Cricetulus griseus: one gene and its partners. The protein of the gene in region 2 interacts with the protein of the main gene of each other region in a pairwise test. Links are inferred from orthologs where the notes say so. Each region holds a gene or a part of one and is shown on either strand. Other genes may lie near its edges. The genes, in order: Stx5, Napb, Stx4, Stx16 and Stx6.

Region 1 (3,984 bases), on a different chromosome or scaffold from region 2:
CTAAGTTCAAGACTAACCTAGTCTATACAGCAAGTTCCAGAACAGCCAGGGATATACAGAGAAACCCTGACTTAAACAAAAATACCAGACTGGGCTATATATCTAGAGTCTTGAAACCAAAACAAAGAACCTGCTCCTGAGGTATCTGCAAATCTTTTGCCCTGCCCCTTTGTTTTTTCCTTCTCTTTTAGAAAAGTAGAAAGGATACAGGGAATGAAATCAAACAAACGTAAGGTAATTATAGAGAATAAACTTACAACTCTGGCTGTCCTGGAGCTCACTCTGTGGACCAGGCTGGCCTAGAACTCAGAGATCTGCCTGCCTTTGCCTCCAGAGTGCTGGGATTAAAGGTGTTCATCACTACTCTCAGCTGACCTTCCCCCTTTTCTAATCAACACCTCTGTAAATAAACTCCTCAGACTGGTAAGTCCTTCTATTTCCTCTATATAACCTCCGAATCCAGTTCAGATTTCATATCCTCTGTCAATCTTTCCCAGCATACTATTTCATTCATCTTTTTGTAAAATCTTTTCTATACTATCACTTACTCATTTTAAGCCTAGGCTCCTGATGCTGGGTAACTCTTAAGAAGAATGAACCCTTAAAGACAATAATCTTGCTTCTCATTTGTTCCATCAGCATACAGAACAGTACTTTACAAATGCTAGATGATCCTAAGTGTCTATGGACTCAGTGGAGGAGCAGGGTGTTTGGACATGGGTCTAGATACTTACCCTGGGGATTCATGGCGATGGAAAATGATGGAAGTAATCTAATTAGAATGCTGGGCTCTCCTGATGGCTAGCAGCTCACCTGTTTGATGATGTATGTTAGCTCCTCAATTTCTACTGCTTTATCATCAAAGAGGGACTTGCGCTTTGCCACTGCAGAGACAGATGAAGTGTTACAACAGGTGATGGTAATAACAAGGCTCAAAGGGCTAAGAATACAGTTCAGTGGTAGAGGCACTTGCTTTAATGCACAAAGTCCTAGTTTAAAATCCCCAGCACCATAGGAGAAAATAAAACAAAAACTGCACGATCCTCACTTCCTAGTACTATGTTTCACTGTCCCATCTAGGAAAGATCTACCAAACACTCACAGATTGTTAGCTTCTCCAGCTTGGCAAATGTATTGCTGAGATCTTTTCCAATGCGCCTGCAAATGATCATCAGTGAGAAGGCTGTGGTAAAGGGCAGGAAAGAGGCTAATTCCCATAAGCTCCAACACAACCAATCCCATTCAGCCTAACCAACACAGGCAAATTAACTTCCTAGACATTGTATTACCACCCCCCCCCAAAGACTCTCTTAACTCACTTGGCCATAAGGGTAAATTCACTGCGTTGTCTGGCAGCCCGTAGAGCTGGTTTATTTGTTTGGATTCCATTCTGAAAGGTAATGTCAAAAAGTGGATACTTTAGTTCTCTTCACTATTCATGCTCAGCTTTTCACTGCTCCCTCACATATCCACTAAACACTCCAGTGCTGTTGGCATCAGACAATCTAAATTTATCAGTGGTTTATAGCTAAGAAAAAAAAATTATATGTAGGTTTAAATCTTGACTCATCGTTCGTGGTATTTAATCTTTTCTTAATCCCTGCTGAAGACAATTCCTCCACTCCTATTGGTAAGATTCGCTAATCTTTGTTGTAAAGTAAATTTAGACAACTAGCAGACAAAACGTAAGCATTAATTAGGCTCACACCTGCCTTTCCACTCCAGGTCCTTACCTGACGGCTCTGCAGCGACTTACAGGCAGACAGGAACTCCTGGGTCCGATCCCGGCAGGACATGGTGTCGGGAGGGGAAGGGACCAGGGCCACCGGGGTGGGCAAAGGAGTGATGTCGCTGCTGCTACTGACAGCAGTTGCAGGGGACAGAACCTGTGTCTTTGAGAGACCCAGGTAGACACCCTGATCTGTGTTCTTAGATCCGTAGCGTTTCCGCGGGATCATCGAGTCGCATAACCTCGGACTGCTGTGGAGAGGAGAATGTCATTCTCCAGACAGCCTCGTTCCCCAAAGCTTTCCCCTCAACTAGCAAATCCTCAGGCCCTTTCCCGTATTTGACAGGCTTTCGAGCCCAAGGCCACCCGTAGATCTTGCAGCCCGGCCACGGCGAGAAGGGTCAGCTTCCTCCAGGCCCAAGGCGAAGCCTCCTCAGAATCTCCTTCCAACTTGGCTCTGACGGCCAAAGCACCGGCTGGGGCCCTAAAGTCGAGAAAACAGCCAAAGCCTGGTCCTGCGGCCCTGAGCCTCCAGCCAGACCTTTGCAGTTGGCCCAGATCTTAATCGTGCCCTCTGGTATACGTGACTTCCTTAACTCCCTCACGGAAAAACGGCAACCGACCTCCAAAGGTGGACACACTTCGGTGGGCGGAGGGGGGGAAAACCTCTTTAAGTGTTTATTTGAAACAGGAAGTCCCACCTCCATCAAAGTTCCGCCTGTTGGAAGACTGCAGCCACTGATTGGACAGGGCCGGCGTCTTTCTCAACAAGGCCTTTCCTGATTGGACAGCAAGGTATTCGCTTACGCGGAGCCGCCAGCAGGGCTTGCCCATGGCTCCCTTCTCCCCCCTCCCCCACCGTCAAGCCGCTGCCCCCGAGCTGAGACGACCGACAGAAACTGGCCCCCTACCCCAACGAAGCCCTACCTCCTCTGTTGCCTACCGCCGCCGCCACTGCCACTCTCTCCAGGCCGTCGCCGCCTCCTCGCTGGACTTGTAAGCCACCCAAATCGGAGCAAAGAGCAGGAGCCGCCACGTCACCCACACGTAACCCCACCCCCGTGACGTGATGCCGCGCCACGCCTATTTTTTTAAGCCCAGAGACAGGAAGAACACACCTCTGCCCTTGCATGCTCGACTCCGCTCTCCTATTGGTTAAACTGCCGCTGTGGCCCCGCCCCTGAAGAGCAGAAACAGATCCCAGAGGGCTGGGCCAGAGGAGTCTTAAAGAGCCAGCGCCTCGGCGCCTACAGATGTGGAGGCAGAGGCATGTTTTCGGCAGATCCACAATATTAATTTTATTCTCTGGATGTTGGGGAGGACGAGAGCAGGATTGGAGTCAGCCCTTTTCTGGTTCCTTGTGGCTTCCCTCACGTTTGCGCTCCTGGATCTGACTCTCCTGCTTTTGAGTCAGGTCTGAGAGCCTCTTGCTTGACCGTGAGGACCCCCGACGGCTGAACATGGATAGCCTGCGCCACAGCACGGTGATCAGAAGACTTTCGTTAGATCTTTGTTTGCGGCGGCCTGCGTTGTCCAAATTGACTTCGTTGTCTGCAAGGGCCACGAGGCCACTTAGTTCAGTTCTCCTCTCTAGTCCAGTCTCTTTAGGCCGTCCATTCTGGGCACCTCCCACTCCCATTCCCAATCCAGCTCCCTGACCCTTTTTTGAATCTGGGCCTACCTTGCCTACCTTCGTCGGTCACTTCCTCCCTTGCATGCTCATCAGAGGTCTGATGGTCCTTGTCTTGACAGCAGCCCATGGCCCCGAGAGGCGCAGGACTCTGCCACCCTCCCCAGCCTGCTTAGCTCTGGACCCAGCTTTTGTGACGTCAGGTCTCCCACAGCCCGGGTGAGGGAACCCCTCCCACCCACAAGCCACCTCTCCTTTCTCCCATCACAAAAGGTTCAGGGTCTCTGTGTGTGTTGGGCTGTTTATTAACAAAATAGCAAAAGTCTTCAAGGACTGGAGGATCCAGGCCGCTTCTTTTTTTTTCTTGTTTGGAGAGTCCCTTGTATCTGATTTAAATCAGGGAGCTTCCGCTTGGCATTTGCCTCCAAAGATGCCCAAAGTTCATCTGTCTCTGTGTCTTCTGGGGGTACCATGTTGGGCTCTTGAGGTTCTTGGGGCTCATCCTGATGAGTGAGAAAGAAACTCAGGAATCAGGGACAAGGAAAGAGATTGGCAGAAAAATAATTTCTCTGGACACCACTACTTTGACCTAGAAACCAGTGCAGTTGTGTTCTGGAGTCCCTCA
Region 2 (3,947 bases):
TACGAATCAGTTTTCCAAAATGAGAAGAATGCCCACAGGAGCGGTAAGTAAAACTGTGCACCAAGAACTGATATTCCCTTCTATCTTGAGAGCATCCTACAGTGGTTGGGCCCTGTCACACTGTGACATCAGTTTTGGTAATTGTTTCAAGGAGTTTGAACTGTCTTGCTTTGTTCTCTGAAGACAGGCTTTCATGAAGAGTTTTAAATCATCAGAAACTCTCATTTGGCAGTGATCCCATTTGCCTCACCACCTCTGTCTGCATCAGCACTGCCAAGCCTAGATGGTCTAGACATTGTATTAAAAAACAGCTCCCTCTGGGTCAGGCCTGGAAGACATTGGCACAGGACTGCATCTATCGATGGATATTTAGTAGATTAAAAATCTTCCTGGCAGACAGGAATTTTGTCAAGATCCACCCACTGTGGCCAGCATTATGTAAAGGATAAAGGAGTTCATTGGCTCATAGCCATTTAATAGAATTCGGTCAATAAAATGAGTGGATTATGCCTACATGGAAGATATGCAACTCATTTCTAAACAAGAGGACCAAAAGAAAGTTGCAGTCTGGGGACGCTTAAAAGCAACTCTGAATTTATATTGGGGAAGATGATGCATTTTTAACGTCTTGCTCTCAGAAATTAAAAATAACTCTTTAGGCCAGCTGTTGCTCCTTTTCTGGGAGAGCTGGGAGGTGGGGCACCACAGAGTTGACGAAATTGCACTGAACTGCATTAGATTACCTTTTGCAGTACCTTCATGTAGGCTGAGAGTTCCCGGCTTTTTTTTTTTTTTTTTTTTTTTAACAAGCCCTGGTCAACCGTTTATCCATTGCTACGTCTCAGTCATGGTCAATGATTTCTGACGCTGCGTGTTTTAGGTTATCTCCCTTGGAAGCTGCCGGTAATTTTCTGATTCTGCATTCCTTAAAACCTTGAAGTCCACCTTGGCCCAAGACCCCTCCAGAGGGCCACGCCCCTTCTCCCTCCTCCCGGAGCCCGGGGAACTCAGGGTCCTCAAGACAGGCTCCTGCCCGGCCCTGCCCAGCAGCTTTCTGGGAATTGTAGTTGTGGCCTCTGACACAGCTGCCACTATGGTGGAGTCTAGGACTACAGATCCCTACAGTCCCCACGCACCGCGCCTGCGTGCCCGCACCTGCTAGAGGGAGGGTTAAGTCGTCCCGGGAGCATTGCAAGTCGGTGGCGGAGGCTTTGGCGGCGGCTGGCGACATGGACAACGCAGGGAAGGAGCGAGAAGCGGTCCAGCTGATGGCGGAGGCCGAGAAACGAGTGAAGGCCTCCCACTCCTTCCTGCGAGGGTTGTTCGGGTGAGCGTCAGAGTTCTTGCCCTTAGGGGTCTTGGTGCCCAGTTCCCCGCCCAGCCAGCTGTCACCGTAGAGTGCCCCACACAACCTCTTAGGGTTCCTGGGTTCCCAACGGCCTTCAGAACATATCCAGGTGGCCCACGTACGGCCTTGAGTCCCGCAGCCCCTAGGGTCCATCGCATCCCCAGGGCATGTCTGAGGGACTCTAGTCTGCACACACTGCAAGCCCCAGAACCTTGGGATCCTCAGGCCTTGGGCACCCACACACATATGCCCGAAGAACCCGTAGCCCTCTACCCCCAGGCACCCTTTAACAGCTCAGAACGCCTACGCGCCCCCCGGAGATTTCTGTGTCCCCCCGGCACCCCTCGCGTCGCCCGTGGTCTCATGTGGGTGACAGGGTCCGCGCCGGGCTGTCCCTCCGGGTTCGTCACCTTCCTGGAGGACCGGTTTCGTTAATTTACCCTGGTCCGGGCCGTATATCACCTGGGGGAGCCAGGACAAGGAGGTCCTGGAATTCAGCTTGTCGCCTGGCATCTACTAGAGGCTCACTGGGAGCGCGAGGTCGGCGCCCCTATGTCTCCGGCCCATGGACCTTGCCAACATTTTCTCGGATGGTGTGTTTTTCCTTTGCTGGAGTGATTTGTATCCGTAGCCCGGGCCTTTTGTTTGATGGACCCTAAAATTCATTGCCTCTGTTTAAAGTCATTATCTTTTGGGAATCCCGTGATTTCGTATAATTCTTACATGCTGTAGTCGGGAAGGCTTTACATTCTGATCTTTCAAAAAGCAGAACCTGAACTGAGAGCTTGTGAAAGAATTCTGGGCTGTTGATTATGTGAATGATTCAGCTGTTTATGACAGCGGCAGAAATTACGCGTGTGCCTCAATTTTTTTTTTTTTTTCCTATTTGAAAGTGAAAGATCTTTACCAAGAGCAGATTTTAATTATCGGGCAGGACTAGTGGCACATACTCAACTGAGGCATTATGAGACGCTGTTTTATTTCTGTACAAATTCAATTTGTACACTTAGTTCTGAAAACACACCCAGTGAGCTTTGACTTGTTTTTTCTAACTTCGTTCATTTGACTGCTGATTATAATATTCATTATTATGTAACAGTTTATTTGAACCCCGTTATATTTCCATCTCCAGGAAATGCTTAGGGTCACTTTGATACAGTGCGTGGTCTGCCAGGATACAGAGGAGGAGGCTATCCTTGAGGACTTCTAAGGGCATTTATCACTACTGGGCCCTAAATTTCTCATATGATATGAGGCTTGAAACTGTAACATATACTCTGTTTCCGCTTTAAAAGGCACAAGGAGCATTGCTCGTATTTGGTGCCAAATGCTAATACCTGTCTGTGAGTCACAAAACATGAGATTCACTGTGTGAAATTTAATGGCAGAGTGCCTCACCATGGGAGGCGATTGATTTGAATGCACAACGAATTTCACGTCAGGATATGTTTCCTTGAGCCAGTTACGGACATTTCTTTTGGTCAAGAGGTGCGTTGTTTGGAGGAAAGTAGGTCAAATCTTGAGGCAGTCATCTAAAAGGATTTTGAGGAATCTATTTCTGAAGAAATGCATTTTTGACTGTTGCTGCCCTGTCAGTGACAGGCCGAGAGGGAAGACTTCATCTTCCATCATTCACACTCAGTTTGCATGGAGTTACTACAGCGTACTCAGGTAGAAGCAGCAGGTCAGTTATTATCATGGCTTCGGAACCTGGAAAAGGTTAACTTTGCTTCTTTGGGCCTCGGTTTCTTCTTCTGTAATCCACCGTGTATCTCATGATTAGTGATCGGTGAGTTTATATTTTTAAAATACCTAGGCCTGTGGCTGTTGGAATTGGCTGTCGGATGATTATCCACATATTCACCAAAGCTGTCAGCTCCTCTTTTCAAGGAAGGGGAAGGGCAGATGGATTGAGTTTTGTAGGATTTTGGAGCCAAAAACTTAGTCGATTGTCTTTTAATAAATAAATACCTTAAGAGTTTTAGCCAGGTCAAGTGTCCTTTGTACCATGAGAACTGGTAGGTTTAACATTTGGTCCTGGAAAGCTTAGGGGAAGAAGTATAGAGAGCTTCATGAAATTTATTATAAGTATGTAAGTATTTGAAACTCCAAACCAGACCTAGTTCTCTTTGTGTTATCATGGGAAGACTATGGTTTGGCATCAGTTTTAGATGTTTAGAGTCCTGTGGATGTGACATTACATGCATCTGTCATCACTTTACTTGTTGCCCTGCCCTGCCTCCCTCCGGTTTTATGTTTCGTTTATGGTAGTGTCATCTATCCCCATGTGAGACCCTCAGGCTAATGGAGAATTAATAATCACATGTTTTAATTCACCCATGTATCACCAGAGTTCCTATTTATGACATGGACAGGTGATGTTTTGAGGCTGTGGCAGACATTTAAAAAGGCATCTAGCTTATTGCAGATGTTTCACGTCACTGACTGTTAATCTCCCAGCTGCAGATTAAAGCCTAGCCTGAGTTCATCTTCTATATGCTGCACAATGCTTTTGTGGCAATACTGTGTTCTCAGTATTGTTCCATAACTCTCAACTTTCTGTTGTTGCTTTAGATGGAAATATGCATGGATAGTCACA
Region 3 (4,244 bases), on a different chromosome or scaffold from region 2:
TCCCCAGGGGCATGGACAAACTGAAGACTTCCATTTGGGGGCTGACAGCATCATGACACCTTGAAAGTCAGGCCCCACAGTAGGCACTTTTCTCCACATTATTTTCAGGGGACCACACTAGGCAGAGCTGGGCCTCCTGAGAAGCCCACCAACACCGCATCCCTCTGCGGGGTGGTCAGGGCCATATTATCCTCACCCCCTCATTTCCAAATCCAGGAGTTTCTAAAGGGAAAAGCATCACAGCCCCACAAGTGCATGGGGTTTTAGTCTGTTGGCTTCTGATGTGTCACCAGCCCCTAAAACATATCTGCTCTATAGTATGTGCCCAATAAATATGTCCAGAGAGACAAACCTGGGGAAATGGGACGGTGAGAGAAGCCACAGGCTTTAGTTTCAGATACATGAAAGGCTCCTATTCGGATCAAGGCTGTGAGGGCCTATTATGTAGCAAGCTCTGAATTTGGTGCTGGGGACTCCGTAAAAGAAAAGCAAGTCATGCTAGGACTTCAGGGCTGCGGAGGTAACAATACATTCCTCTCAGTCTGAGCTGCTCTGAAATCTGAAGGTGGCGAGCTCAGCGGGACTGCAGTGCTCACACAGGGCGTAGGCCGCCCACCTGTCAGAGGCTGTGCCAGGAGGACGCAGGGTGTGTAGGGGGAAGAGTTCCACCTTGGCTGAGGTCACTTCCCACCCCCAGATTGTCTGCCTACAAAACCCTGCAATCCTCTGACGCTGTAGCCTCCGATCTCATTATGTTCTGACTCTCAAGGTCTCGTGATACTGACAGCCCCCAAATTTAAGTCTTCAGATCGCCCACGCCCTAGGGCCCCAAATTAAAACAGAAAGTGAAGTCTACAAGGGTCTCCTCTGTAGGTGGCTGAGAGCTGTCGGTGTACCCCTCCCCACCTTCTGCAAGGGGTACAGCTCAGACTCAGGGGTATCGGGGACGTCGCGAGACTGAAGTCCGAGACGTCGCTGACAGCGCCGGGACACGTGACCGGCTGTCGGGCGTGCAGCCGGCGGAGCGGGGCCAGGTCTGTCACGTGATGAGGGGGCGCCATGGGGTGATGTGAGATACGAGGCTCTCAGACTGCGTGCAAATGACGCATCCCCAACCCTTTGGGCAACTAGATTCCAGTCCCAATATGAGATGTTCCGGTAGAAAGGGGGGGGGGGCGGACGGGCTCTCGATCCAGGCGGCCTCGCTTCCGTTCGGCCGCGACTGCTTCCGACCTCCGCCTTTTCCCCCTAGCGAGGAAGAGACAAGACCTCGTGCGCATGCTCCGAGTCATCCTCCCGAGGGGCGGGGCTGCGGCTGCGGGAGCAGGATGGGGGGAAGAGAAGGGAATTCCAACCTGTAGAACTTTGGGGGTCCTATGGTCGGGTTCTCCCCGGCGACTGTGCATGGTGAAAGGGGCGGGACCTCTGGGGGCTCGTGGGGGCGTTGGGGGTTCGCAGGGTGAGGAAGGGGGTGTCAAGTGAGAGAGAGCTCGTGCAGGACTTCCAAACTTAGAACCTTGAGGCCCTCGGGGCTCAGGTCCAGGGACCGGGCGCTCGGGCCGCCATGCGCGACAGGACCCATGAGCTGAGGCAGGTGAGGAGCTGGGGCCCGGCGGGCGCGCAGGACTGAGGACTCCTGGTTTGGGGTCCGGGAGGGGTGGCTGACGGCCAGGAAGGAAAATCCCGGAAGCCCATAGCTCCTGCGGGGCGAGAACCGCGGCGAGCGAGTGGTGCCAATGACTCCGGCCCTGGCAGGGGGACAACAGCTCGGACGACGAAGATGAGGCTCGAGTCGCGCTGGTGGTGCACCCAGGTACCGCCCGGCTGGGCAGCCCAGATGACGAGTTCTTCCAGAAGGTAAGGCCCGGAGGACCGAGCAGTAGGGAGGACTACAGTACCACTTATGTCTTCAGTTCCCTTGGTGATCCTCTCTAGGTCCAGGCAATTCGGCAAACTATGGCCAAACTGGAGAGTAAAGTCCGGGAGTTGGAGAAACAGCAGGTCACCATTCTGGCCACGCCCCTTCCCGAGGAGAGTAAGCGAAACCCGGGTTCACGTACGCCAGCCCGGTGGATTATGGGGGATGTAGTCCTATATAGATGTTGGCCGGGGGTGGGGTTGGTTTTGGTTTGTGGTGGAGGCTGTGGTTTGGAAGTGTTGGCCTTCTCTCATTTAGGCATGAAGCAGGGCCTGCAGAACCTGCGCGAGGAGATCAAACAGCTGGGGAGAGAGGTCCGGGCACAGCTAAAAGGTGAATGAACTTCAAGGGCCTCAGCCAGATCATCCCCAGTGATTCAGCCCTGATGCTCGTGTATCTGGGGAGTCAAGTGATATATCAGGTCACAGAGCAGGTCTGGGTCTAGGATCTCTGCCCTGTGGCATCTAAGCCTTGGTACTTTGCATATATTACATGCTGGCCTCTCAGATTCCTTTATTACTATTTTTACATCTAAATTCAAAACTACTTGCTGCTACAGTTCTTGAAGCCCAGTGTGTGTTCTTTGAGCAGATGGATGAGGGTTTCTTAGGAGGCTCCTTCACTCTTGTGGGAACCCACTGATGTAATACAAAGAAAAACTTCTCTTAGAAGATCAGAATTAGCCTCCTCCTCCCCCTCCCTCACCTCTTCCTCCTATGTAGACCAGGCTGGCCTCAAATTCACAGAGATCCATCTTTCCCTGCCTTTTGAATGCTGAGATTAAAGGCCTGCCGTAACCAGGTCCAGTTGGCTGATCTCACCCCCTTCTTCCTTCTTTCTTCTTCCTCCTAGTTCCTTCTTTTTTCCTCCTCCTCCCCCTTCCTCCTCCATCATGTGTCACTACTAAAATATATCCCTGCTCATAAGTCACTTTGTAAAAAAAAATCCTACGAAGACAAGAACTTCCTTATTATGTGGCTGGAATGTAGATGTGGCCCTGTATTCTGGTACCCAAACAATTTTTTTTGATTCATTTAAAATTTTTTATTATGTATTTTCAATTTTTTAATTATTTTTTGAGACTCAGTAGGTAGATCAGGCTAGCCCAGACAGAAATCAGTTAGCCTCCCAGCCAATTTTTAGAAGTCTCAGGGCAAGCTTTTCTTTCCATCAACCCTCGTATTTCTCCCACAGCCATAGAGCCTCAGAAGGAAGAAGCTGATGAGAATTATAACTCAGTCAACACAAGAATGAAAAAAACCCAGGTTGGTTTCATTTTCCTAGAACTAGGACATTTCATCAAGTGTTTCTTAGATTACTAACTGGTGACTGGGCAACCCTTACAGACCGTTGAATCTGGGATCTCTGTCCTGATGAATTTCCTTTATGCTTATTTGGTCTAGGTAGAGGATCCCAGTCACAAAATTCTCAATCCATTATAACACCATGCCACCGCCATTCAAAGAGAATTTGCTATGTCAGACATGACTCTGTCCTGGCTATGAGAGACATATTTTCCCAAAACTGAAATGGGGAATTTGGACTGAAAAGGGAACAAAGATATTTCTCATGTAGGACTTGGTCACTAATAGCTTTGTTCAGGGAAGAAGAGAGAGAAATAAAAAATGGTAATTAAGAGCACTGGTTGCTCTTCCAGAGGCCCCAGATTTAATTTCCAGCACCCACATGGCAGCTCACAACCATCTGTAACTCCAGTTCCAGGGGATCTAACACTCTCACATAGACATACATGTAGGTAAAACACCAATGCACATAAATCAAAGAATAATAATAAGAGCCAAGTGTGAAGGCAGAGGCAGGCGGATCTCTGAGTTCGAGGCCAGCCTGATCTACAGAGAAACCCTGTCTTGAATAACCAAAAATAAATAAATAAATGATAAATAAATGTAAGTTAAAATGACAAGCAAGGACATCCTTGGCCCCATAGATAGAATTTAAGAGATGGCGAGGGGCTGCAAGACGGATCAGTGGGTAAAGGTGTCTGCTTCTAAGCTTTATAACCCAATTCAGCCCCAGGTCCATGGGGTGCAGAGAACTGACTCCTGGGAGTTGTCCTCTGATTTCTACACATGTGCCATGGCACACATGCCCTGCCCCGTGCATACACAGTAAAGACATATATTAACGTATGATGTAGGGACTGGAGAGATGGCTTAGCACACACCACTTTTGCAGAGGAACTGAATTCAGCTGTTCCCAGCTGTGACCTATGTCAGGTGGCTCACAACCATCTGTAACTCCAGCTCTAGGAAGAGGCCCTCCACCTCCTTGGATACCACAGATGAAGGCACATAATAAAATATAT
Region 4 (4,290 bases), about 25 Mb from region 2:
AGGAAAGGCATCCGGGGCTCCAATGCCTGGCCTCGCCCGAACCCCAAGTGTGACCAAGGTGTTCCCAATGCAGCCAGCCCCAAAGCTGGGGTCAAGGCTGCACCCCAGGAATCCGCGCTGCAGATGCAGATCTGTCACCCGGGCTTGCCGGTGGGTCGCTCTGCTCCAGGGATGCGGCTGGAGCAGCCCTAGGGGGCCCCTCGGCGAGTCCCCCTAAGCCAAGACAGAGTAGCAGTGAGCCAGATGCATGGTTCCACGGACTGGCAGGCGACCCGAAGGCCCAGCTCGATGCAAGGCAGGCATAGCAGCAACACAAAGCTCTTTTGGGGGGAGTGAGAGTGAGGGAGGGTCTCCCAGTTAGCAGAAACCTCCCTGGCAAGCACAACGATGCAGTGTCCCCTACGGAGTGTGGCACCTAAGGGTGGGGGTCGACGTCCCCCTGACTGTCCTCAGCAAGGCGTGGAACTCAAGATTTTTTTTTTCCTCCCTGTTCCTTTTTCTCGCCTGGTTGTTTTTTGGATACTTTTCTTTTCTCTCTCTCTCTCTTTTTTTTTTTTTTTCAGCTTTAAAAAAAAAAGAAAAGAAAAAGGCACAGCCATCTCAGCAGCGCCAGCAGCCTGCAGTGGAGCGTGCCCGGCCTGCAGAGGCACTGTCTCCTGCCTTTTCCTCCGCCCCCGCGCAGGACTAGGCTCTGCTAGAGCCACACTCTTGTTTGCTTGGCAGTTCTACTAGAAGTTTACAGTTGTCTGGACCCCAGCAGTGATTTTCGGCTCCAGGGCCAAGTTTTTGAAGTTTTCTTTGGGCCAGGATGCCTGTCCCAGAGTCTGCACACACTTAGGAAGAGGGAAACAGGGCACCCCGGGAAATACCCCAGAGAGGGCGGGGCGCTCCCACCCCTGGGGCAGGGCAACAAGGGAGATCCCTCTCCCGGAACGTTACAAACAATCCTCATGAACATCGCAGGGGGGCACCCGCGAGGAACGGACAGGAAGAGGGCTGGGGAACGCTGAGCCCGGGACCACACGCGGAAGCGGCCCTGGGGCAGGGTTGCAGCCATATCCCGGGATGGAGGGTGCCGGCCAGGAGGAGTGAGGAGGCCGGGGTGCAGGCCGTGAGGTCCTGGTGGAGGGAGGCCTGCAGCCTGCGGGCCTCCGGGGAAGCAGGGGTCGGGTCGCCCTGAGCCCTGGGAGGCTCTGAGGACTCGGAGGGAGCTGCAGACGCTCGCTTGGAGTCCTGGGCTCAGGCCTGCTCGTGGCTGGAGCAGGCCTTTTGTGAGGAGAGTTGACCAAAATTCGGAGTTAGAGCCACATGCCAGACACGCAGGCGCTAAGCGAGTGTGTTTCGAGGCCCAGACGTCAGGGGCAGTCTCAGGAAGCGAGTGGGCAGGGGTCTTGTGCACGCTCCCTCCTGATTGGTGGGTTAGACGCTTGCAGATCCGCCGCTGGATTGGGGAGGGGTCTCCAGGACGTTCGGTTTCTATGCTAGGATTGGGGGGATTCTAGTGCTTAGAGATCCGAGCCAGGGCTGGGGTAGGGGGAGCCAGACAATTGGAAAGCCTAGGTGGTTATTTGGGGAGGGGTCTCTGCGCTTTGGCGGAGCGCAAAATTGCACCTTTTTTTTTTTTTTTTTTGTGGCCTGAGGCCTTGTCAAGAGAGGTTTCTAAGAAAGGGTGGACCAGCCAGGCTAGCGTGAGAGAAAGAAAATAAAAAAAAAGAAAGAAAAAAATCAAGACTATAAGGGGGTGGGGGACCCTGAGAGGGGGGGTCACAGAGGTGAGACATGGCCACCAGGCGTTTAACCGACGCTTTCTTGTTGTTGCGGAATAATTCCATCCAAAACCGGCAGCTGTTAGCCGAGCAAGTGAGTAGTCACACCACCTCCAGCCCTCTGCATTCACGTAGCATTGCTGCGGTGAGTCTCCCGGCGGCCTCTCCAGACACACACACCGTGTGCACTGCGGCTCTGCCTGTCTGTCTGTCTCTGTCTGTCTGTCTAAAAAGAGAGAGAGAAAAAAAAAAAAAAGGAAGAAAAAGAACAAAACGACGACGATTAGGAGTGATACTTAAGTGGAAGGGCTCCCTGGTCAGGGGTCATGGGGCACCTACGACCCCCAAAGGGGACCACAGTATCAAGCCCTGCTCTGCCTTACTCACTCACTCCATGGCCTCTCAGTCCTCAGTGTCACAGCACGACAGGCAGCTTCAGTTTACATGTGTTTTAACCACGAGGACTTGGAATCTAGGCCTTTCTCCAACCTTCTTTTTGTTTTGTTTTGTTTTGTTTGGAGTTCTCCCCCCCTACACACACCTCCTGCAATGGCTTCACTTTGGTTCTTTGGGTCAGGTGGTTGGTTAGCTGACTCAAACCCTTGCAAAGGGAACTCTCCCCCCACCCCCACCCAGGAGGGAGTTGTGTTGTGTGTGTGTGTGTGTGTATTAGGGGTGTGTTGTGGTGTGTGTGTGTGTGTGTGTATTGGGGGTGTGTTGTGGTGTGTGTGTGTGTGTGTGTGTGTGTGTGTGTGTTGTGGGAATGGGGGTGTTGTGGGGGTGGGGGTGGGGGTGTTGGGTGTGTGTGTTGGGGGTGTGGGTGTTGGGGGGTGTTGGGGGTGGGTGTTGGGGGTGTTTGGGGATGGGGATGTGTGTGTTGGGGGGGTGTTGGGGATGGGGTGTGTGTGTTGGGGGGTGTGTTGGGGATGGGGATGTGTGTGTTGGGGGGGTGTTGGGGATGGGGATGTGTGTGTTGGGATGTGTGTGTGTTGGGGTGTGTGTTGGGGGATGTGTGTGTTGGGGGTGTGTGTTGGGGATGGGGATGTGTGTGTTGGGGGATGTGTGTGTTGGGGGGTGTGTTGGGGATGGGATGTGTGTGTTGGGGGGTGTTGGGGATGGGGATGTGTGTGTTGGGGGTGTGTGTGTGTGGGGATGTGTGTGTTGGGGGGTGTGTTGGGGATGGGGATGTGTGTGTTGGGGGTGTGTGTTGGGGGGGTGTGTTGGGGATGGGGTGTGTGTTGGGGGGGTGTTGGGGATGGGGATGTGTGTGTTGGGGTGTGTGTGTGTGTTGGGGGGTGTGGGGATGGGGATTTGTGTGTTGGGGGTGTGTGTTGTGGGAATGGGGTGTTGTGGGGGTGTGTTGTGTGGGTGTGGTTGTGTATTGTGTGTGTGTGTGTGTGTTGTGGGGGGGTGTTGTGGAGGGGGTGTGTACTCATTTTCTCTTCTCACAATTTTTCTTCAAATGGCCCCAGTCCTCTGTGTAGCCACGCCCCCCCCAGGAATAATTGTGCTGCTGTTTTTCCTGGGCTCGTGCTGGTGAGACTGCAAGGTGCTCGGCCCTTCCATTTCCCACACAGGAAATTAAGCTTCCCCTCCATTCGAACTTTTTTAAAAACATGATGTGATGTGAAAATTAACCCCCCAAAATAGCACCCAGCTTTTGATTTTATTGACCGGAGCTTCACTTGCTCCAGCAGTAGTGGGGTTTGTTGTTGTTGTTCTTTTTCAAAGCAGTGTTCCAGAAAGATTGCTGTATTTGGTTTGTTTTTGATGCAGGCTTTGACTTCCTGAGCCTCAGTCTACCTCCCTGTCAAATAGAGGTTGGATGTGAATGGGCGTCAGATGAGTATTTATAATAACCTTAATTGAAAAGGGAGGTTTGAGTCGGAGCATAGGGGAATGCACAGTCACCCCAAGCCCTTAGGAAGTTGTATTTGAAATGCAATGTGTGAAACCCTGCGCCTTTCCCACCTTTTAGATGCTGGATTGCCTTTTAATTTTTTTCTTTTATCGTTTATCAAAGTGATAATGAAAAATTAAGCTCTGTGTCGTGATTGTCAATGTGTTGCCAAGACAATTGTCCCCTTTTTAAGTCACCATGAAAAAATTTTTAAGTCACCGTGGAAATTATGCTTGGCCATATTATTCACAGAAAAGGTATTTGAAGCCGTGTGCGCCGCGGGCGCCGTTTTGGGGGGGTTAGGTGTATGAACTTGGTCACAAGGCATAGGAAATTGCCCCCCAAGGGGGCAGGGGCTTTTGTTTACATTTATATTGAAGGGTTTTTACTTGTAAACTGAAAGACATAATATTACATAGAAATAAAAAAAAAAAATCTCAGCATGGAGATGGGTTCATTCTAACATGGCTTTTGAAAAGAAAGGGTCTCCAGAAATAAACAGAGACATAGTGAGTGGCAGCGGAATGAATACAGCTGGTGAGTCTTCCGTTATGTTAATAAGAGTCTCCTGTTCTTTATGTCTTAATTTTATGCAACCTCATGGAGAGGGGGAAAAATAGCCTA
Region 5 (3,511 bases), on a different chromosome or scaffold from region 2:
AATATATTTTGTTCATATTGTTTGCTGAAAGATCGGAGAAGCAGAGCAGCCAGCCACTAGTCTTTACCTCTACCTCAGATTGAAAGGGCGATCCTGCCTCTAGGAATCCTCAGACTGAATGCTAGGAGTTCCTGTCTCCTCCTGCCTTATATTCCTCTGTCCACCCAGCCATATCCCTGCCTGTCTCTACCTTCCTAGTGCTGGGATTAAAGGCATGTGACTGCCAAGTACTGGGATTACAGGTGTGTGCCAACAGTGCCTAGCATCTGTGGCTAACTTGTATGGCTAAGTCTGTGCTCTGATCTCCAGACAAGCTTTGTTAGAGCACAAACAAAATATCATCACACCCCAACTTTCCTTAGCTTTCCCCCTCCTTACCTACTCCATTTCATATTCTTTTTTTTTTTTTTTCTTAAAAAAGCAAAACCAACAGCATGTAGTCCATTTTGTGTTGGTGAACTACTCCTGGGCATATGGGCAACTAGCCCACTTCCTCGTCTCCATGCTGGGATTTTGTCCTGTTTGAACCTGTGCTGGGCTTGTCCATGCTGTCATAGTTGCTGTAAGTTCATATGTGCATCAGCCCTGTTTGTCTAGAAAAATGCTATCTCCTTGGAGTCACCCACCATTTCTGGCTCTTACTATCTTTCCACCTCCTCTTCTCTAGATTCCTGAGCCTTGAGGGGAGGGGTGTGATGCAGACACCCCAGTTAGGACTGAGTGCTCCAAAGTCTTTGACTCTGTACATTGTTTAGTTGTGGGTCTCTGTTAATTACCATCTACTGAAAGAAGAAGCTTTTCTGATGAGGGTTCCCCTATGCACTGATTTTATGGTATTAGCTACACTTTTTAAAGATTCCATTACTCTCAGGGGTGCCACAAGCCAGGGCCCAAGGCTTTACTGCCAGACCTTCGGCAGACATCTAGACAAACATTAGTTTCTAGGCAGCTTTCCTTAATACACACACACACGCACGCACGCACGCACGCACGCACGCACGCACGCACGCACGCACGCACGCACACAGGTCCCCTGCTCCTATCAATTGACCCACACCACCGGCTCCTCCGGCACCTCCTGTGAGCCAGGCATCTGCTAAAGACTCTTAATAACTTACTGTCTTTTTACGGGACTCCAGGCTTCCTGATAATGGCATGGTTATGTTTGAATTTTGATGTAGCCAGGAGGTTGCCTGTGCCCCTAAGATGGCTACAATTTCAAGGCCAGTCAGGTCCACATAGTGTGAGCTCAGCACCAGCCTGGATTATGTAGTGAAACTTTGTCTCAAAACAAATAAATAAATTAAATTGATGTAGATATTTGAGTAATTTTTAACATGTTTCAAATTTAGTTTTGTTTTTTTGAGACAGGGCCTCTCTACATAGACCTGATTGTCCTAGAACTCACTTATATAGACCAGGCTGGCCCTGAACTCACAGAGATCCACCTGTCTCTTGCTTCCCAAGTGTAGGGACTAAATACATGGGCTACCATACCTGGCAGCATGTTTCAGATTAAATCTCTTCATTTAAAAATGCTGGTTATTGATTTCGGGTAGGGGTTTGTTTTGTTTATTTTGAGACAAGGTTTTCCATGCATGTAGCTCTGGATGACCTATGTAGCCCAGGTTGTCCTAAAACTCAAAACAGTCTTCCCGCCCTAGCTTTCTGAGTGCTGGGATTATAGACCCGAGCCATCATGCCTGGTTGTTGAAAGTATTTTAAGAAATTTTGTATAAAAGAAATTCCTCTGGGGGCTGGAGAGACTGCTCTGCCATTCCAAGCACTTGCTGTTCTTCAGAGAACTGAGATTTGAATTCAGCCTTTGATACCTGTAACCCCAGCTCCAGTGCCTTCATTTATGCACATAGCCACATGCAGACACACACTAACATAGAATTCTGATTGTTAAAATATAATTCTTAAAAAATATATAGCTACCACCTGGAACTTAAACTTGAATAAGTTCAGATTTGTTTGAGTTTCTTTTGGTGAGGTAGAATATTCCTTCAAGTCTGTTCTTGTTTGCTTGGGTTTGTTTATGTTGATTTTTTTGTTTGTTTGTTTTCATTGTTCTTATCTATCTCTCCTTTTCATGTTCTTTTTTTGGAACTATAGCTAGGAAAAGCTATTGGTCAGCTTGTCCCATCTACCTTGGACCCTTCAAAGAAGCTAGTGAAAGGCCAAGGTGGCCTTTACCTCATGGGCCTTTGGCAGACACTTAGCTAGACCTTAGCCAGCCTGCCCTAACGCTGCTCCCCACTGCTCCTTCTCATCTTCCCCTAGCTGCTCTCTTTTGGAGCAGAGGCCATCTGTGAGGCTTATCCTGGAGGTCTTGAAGACAGAGAGAGCCCTTCCTGGTGTTGCTCAAACCATTCCACCAGGCAGAAGCCTGCACTGCCACATCAAAGCCTGGTCCAGGTTTGAGGACCATTTAAGTGGCTCAGCAATAGCTTCTGAGTATTTGTCCTAACTGGTTGTCCCTACTCACACAGGCACTGCTAGGAGACAGCAGCAGCCAGAACTGGAATACTGGAGTGACGGATCGATATGGGCGCCTTGATCGAGAGCTGCAGCTAGCCAACTCCCATTTCATTGAGGAGCAGCAGGCACAGCAGCAGGTACCTGAGAACAACCAGTCAAGGACAGGAGGTAGCAGGCAGGGTGCCTCCCCTGACTCTTTGCTAGCCACAGGCTTATTACCTAATGACGAGTAGTAGGTTAGACCTGAGTGAGTCCTATGCTTGGTTGTCCAGCCGTAATGATTGTATGAACTGTTTAAAGTCTTGAGAGCATGGGACCCCAAAGAACTAGACTTGATCAGATCTCAGGAAATGCAGAGCTGACATCAAAACTGACAAGGCCAAGGGTTTGTGCAGGTTTTGTTTTAGTTGCTGTTTTGAGATGGGTTCTCACTGTATAGCTTCGATGGCAGGCTGGCCTCCATCACGGAGATTTGCTTGCTTCTGCCTTCCAGGTGCAGAGTTTAAAAATGTATGCTACTCCCAAATAAGGCCAAAGATTAAAAAAAAAACAATTCCTCTTCCCCTTTGTACATTCAGGTTTTTGTTTATTTTAATAAAGATACTTTCAGGAACATTGAGGTTTTGTTTTTTCCATCGAAAGTTGTTAATTGGAGATATATATATATATATATATATATATATATATATATATATATATGAAATCAGTTGCTTTGATGGAAGTTAGGTATAAAAAGAAAATGAACTTGTCTCCATGTTGTTACATCTATTATTTGTGTATTTATTTTTATTGTTTTATTGAGGCAGAATCATGCTGTGTAGTCCAGGCTGGCCTTGAACTCATGGTTGTTCTGCCTCAGCTTCATGTGTGTTGAGCTCTTAGGCCTGGATCACCATGCCAGTTTGTGTTCTTGCTTTTATAGATAGCAATTCTAGTAAAAGGAAGCTAACAATTAAATTATGTATCAGGATATGAGAATCACCTGTCCATTGAAATTTTGGTTCATAAATACCATTTTCATGTATAT

The links.
Region 1: the proteins of Napb (region 2) and Stx5 interact in binary tests that used the Homo sapiens proteins (3 or more experiments, as listed by UniProt). The two-hybrid records come from large-scale screens. The link is inferred for Cricetulus griseus from reciprocal best matches to the Homo sapiens genes NAPB and STX5.
Region 3: the proteins of Napb (region 2) and Stx4 interact in binary tests that used the Homo sapiens proteins (3 or more experiments, as listed by UniProt). The two-hybrid records come from large-scale screens. The link is inferred for Cricetulus griseus from reciprocal best matches to the Homo sapiens genes NAPB and STX4.
Region 4: the proteins of Napb (region 2) and Stx16 interact in binary tests that used the Homo sapiens proteins (3 or more experiments, as listed by UniProt). The two-hybrid records come from large-scale screens. The link is inferred for Cricetulus griseus from reciprocal best matches to the Homo sapiens genes NAPB and STX16.
Region 5: the proteins of Napb (region 2) and Stx6 interact in binary tests that used the Homo sapiens proteins (3 or more experiments, as listed by UniProt). The two-hybrid records come from large-scale screens. The link is inferred for Cricetulus griseus from reciprocal best matches to the Homo sapiens genes NAPB and STX6.

What each region holds. Positions count from the first base shown.
Region 1 is NC_048596.1:51,355,577-51,359,560, forward strand, and holds the start of Stx5 (syntaxin-5), read right to left. Parts: upstream 2,803-3,984; 5' UTR 2,657-2,802; intron 2,490-2,656; exon of another isoform or gene 1,981-2,489; 5' UTR 1,959-1,980; coding exon 1,734-1,958; intron 1,391-1,733; coding exon 1,320-1,390; intron 1,159-1,319; coding exon 1,103-1,158; intron 885-1,102; coding exon 814-884; intron 1-813. Other genes in the region: testis-expressed protein 54-like, read right to left, coding at 3,069-3,280, 3,411-3,489; Wdr74 (WD repeat-containing protein 74), read right to left, coding at 3,686-3,862. UniProt on the Homo sapiens protein: Mediates endoplasmic reticulum to Golgi transport.
Region 2 is NC_048599.1:30,297,765-30,301,711, forward strand, and holds the start of Napb (beta-soluble NSF attachment protein), read left to right. Parts: upstream 1-1,145; 5' UTR 1,146-1,155; coding exon of another isoform or gene 1,156-1,229; coding exon 1,230-1,327; intron 1,328-3,947. Other genes in the region: Cstl1 (cystatin-like 1), read right to left, coding at 1,156-1,231. UniProt on the Homo sapiens protein: Required for vesicular transport between the endoplasmic reticulum and the Golgi apparatus.
Region 3 is NC_048596.1:72,932,660-72,936,903, reverse strand, and holds the start of Stx4 (syntaxin-4), read left to right. Parts: upstream 1-1,433; 5' UTR 1,434-1,564; coding exon 1,565-1,594; intron 1,595-1,755; coding exon 1,756-1,857; intron 1,858-1,913; exon of another isoform or gene 1,914-1,935; coding exon 1,936-2,035; intron 2,036-2,176; coding exon 2,177-2,251; intron 2,252-3,112; coding exon 3,113-3,183; intron 3,184-4,244. UniProt on the Homo sapiens protein: Plasma membrane t-SNARE that mediates docking of transport vesicles. Necessary for the translocation of SLC2A4 from intracellular vesicles to the plasma membrane.
Region 4 is NC_048599.1:5,006,099-5,010,388, reverse strand, and holds the start of Stx16 (syntaxin-16), read left to right. Parts: upstream 1-1,489; 5' UTR 1,490-1,779; coding exon 1,780-1,911; intron 1,912-3,542; exon of another isoform or gene 3,543-4,203; intron 4,204-4,290. UniProt on the Homo sapiens protein: SNARE involved in vesicular transport from the late endosomes to the trans-Golgi network.
Region 5 is NC_048598.1:36,564,145-36,567,655, reverse strand, and holds part of Stx6 (syntaxin-6), read left to right. Parts: intron 1-2,495; coding exon 2,496-2,621; intron 2,622-3,511. UniProt on the Homo sapiens protein: SNARE promoting movement of transport vesicles to target membranes. Targets endosomes to the trans-Golgi network, and may therefore function in retrograde trafficking.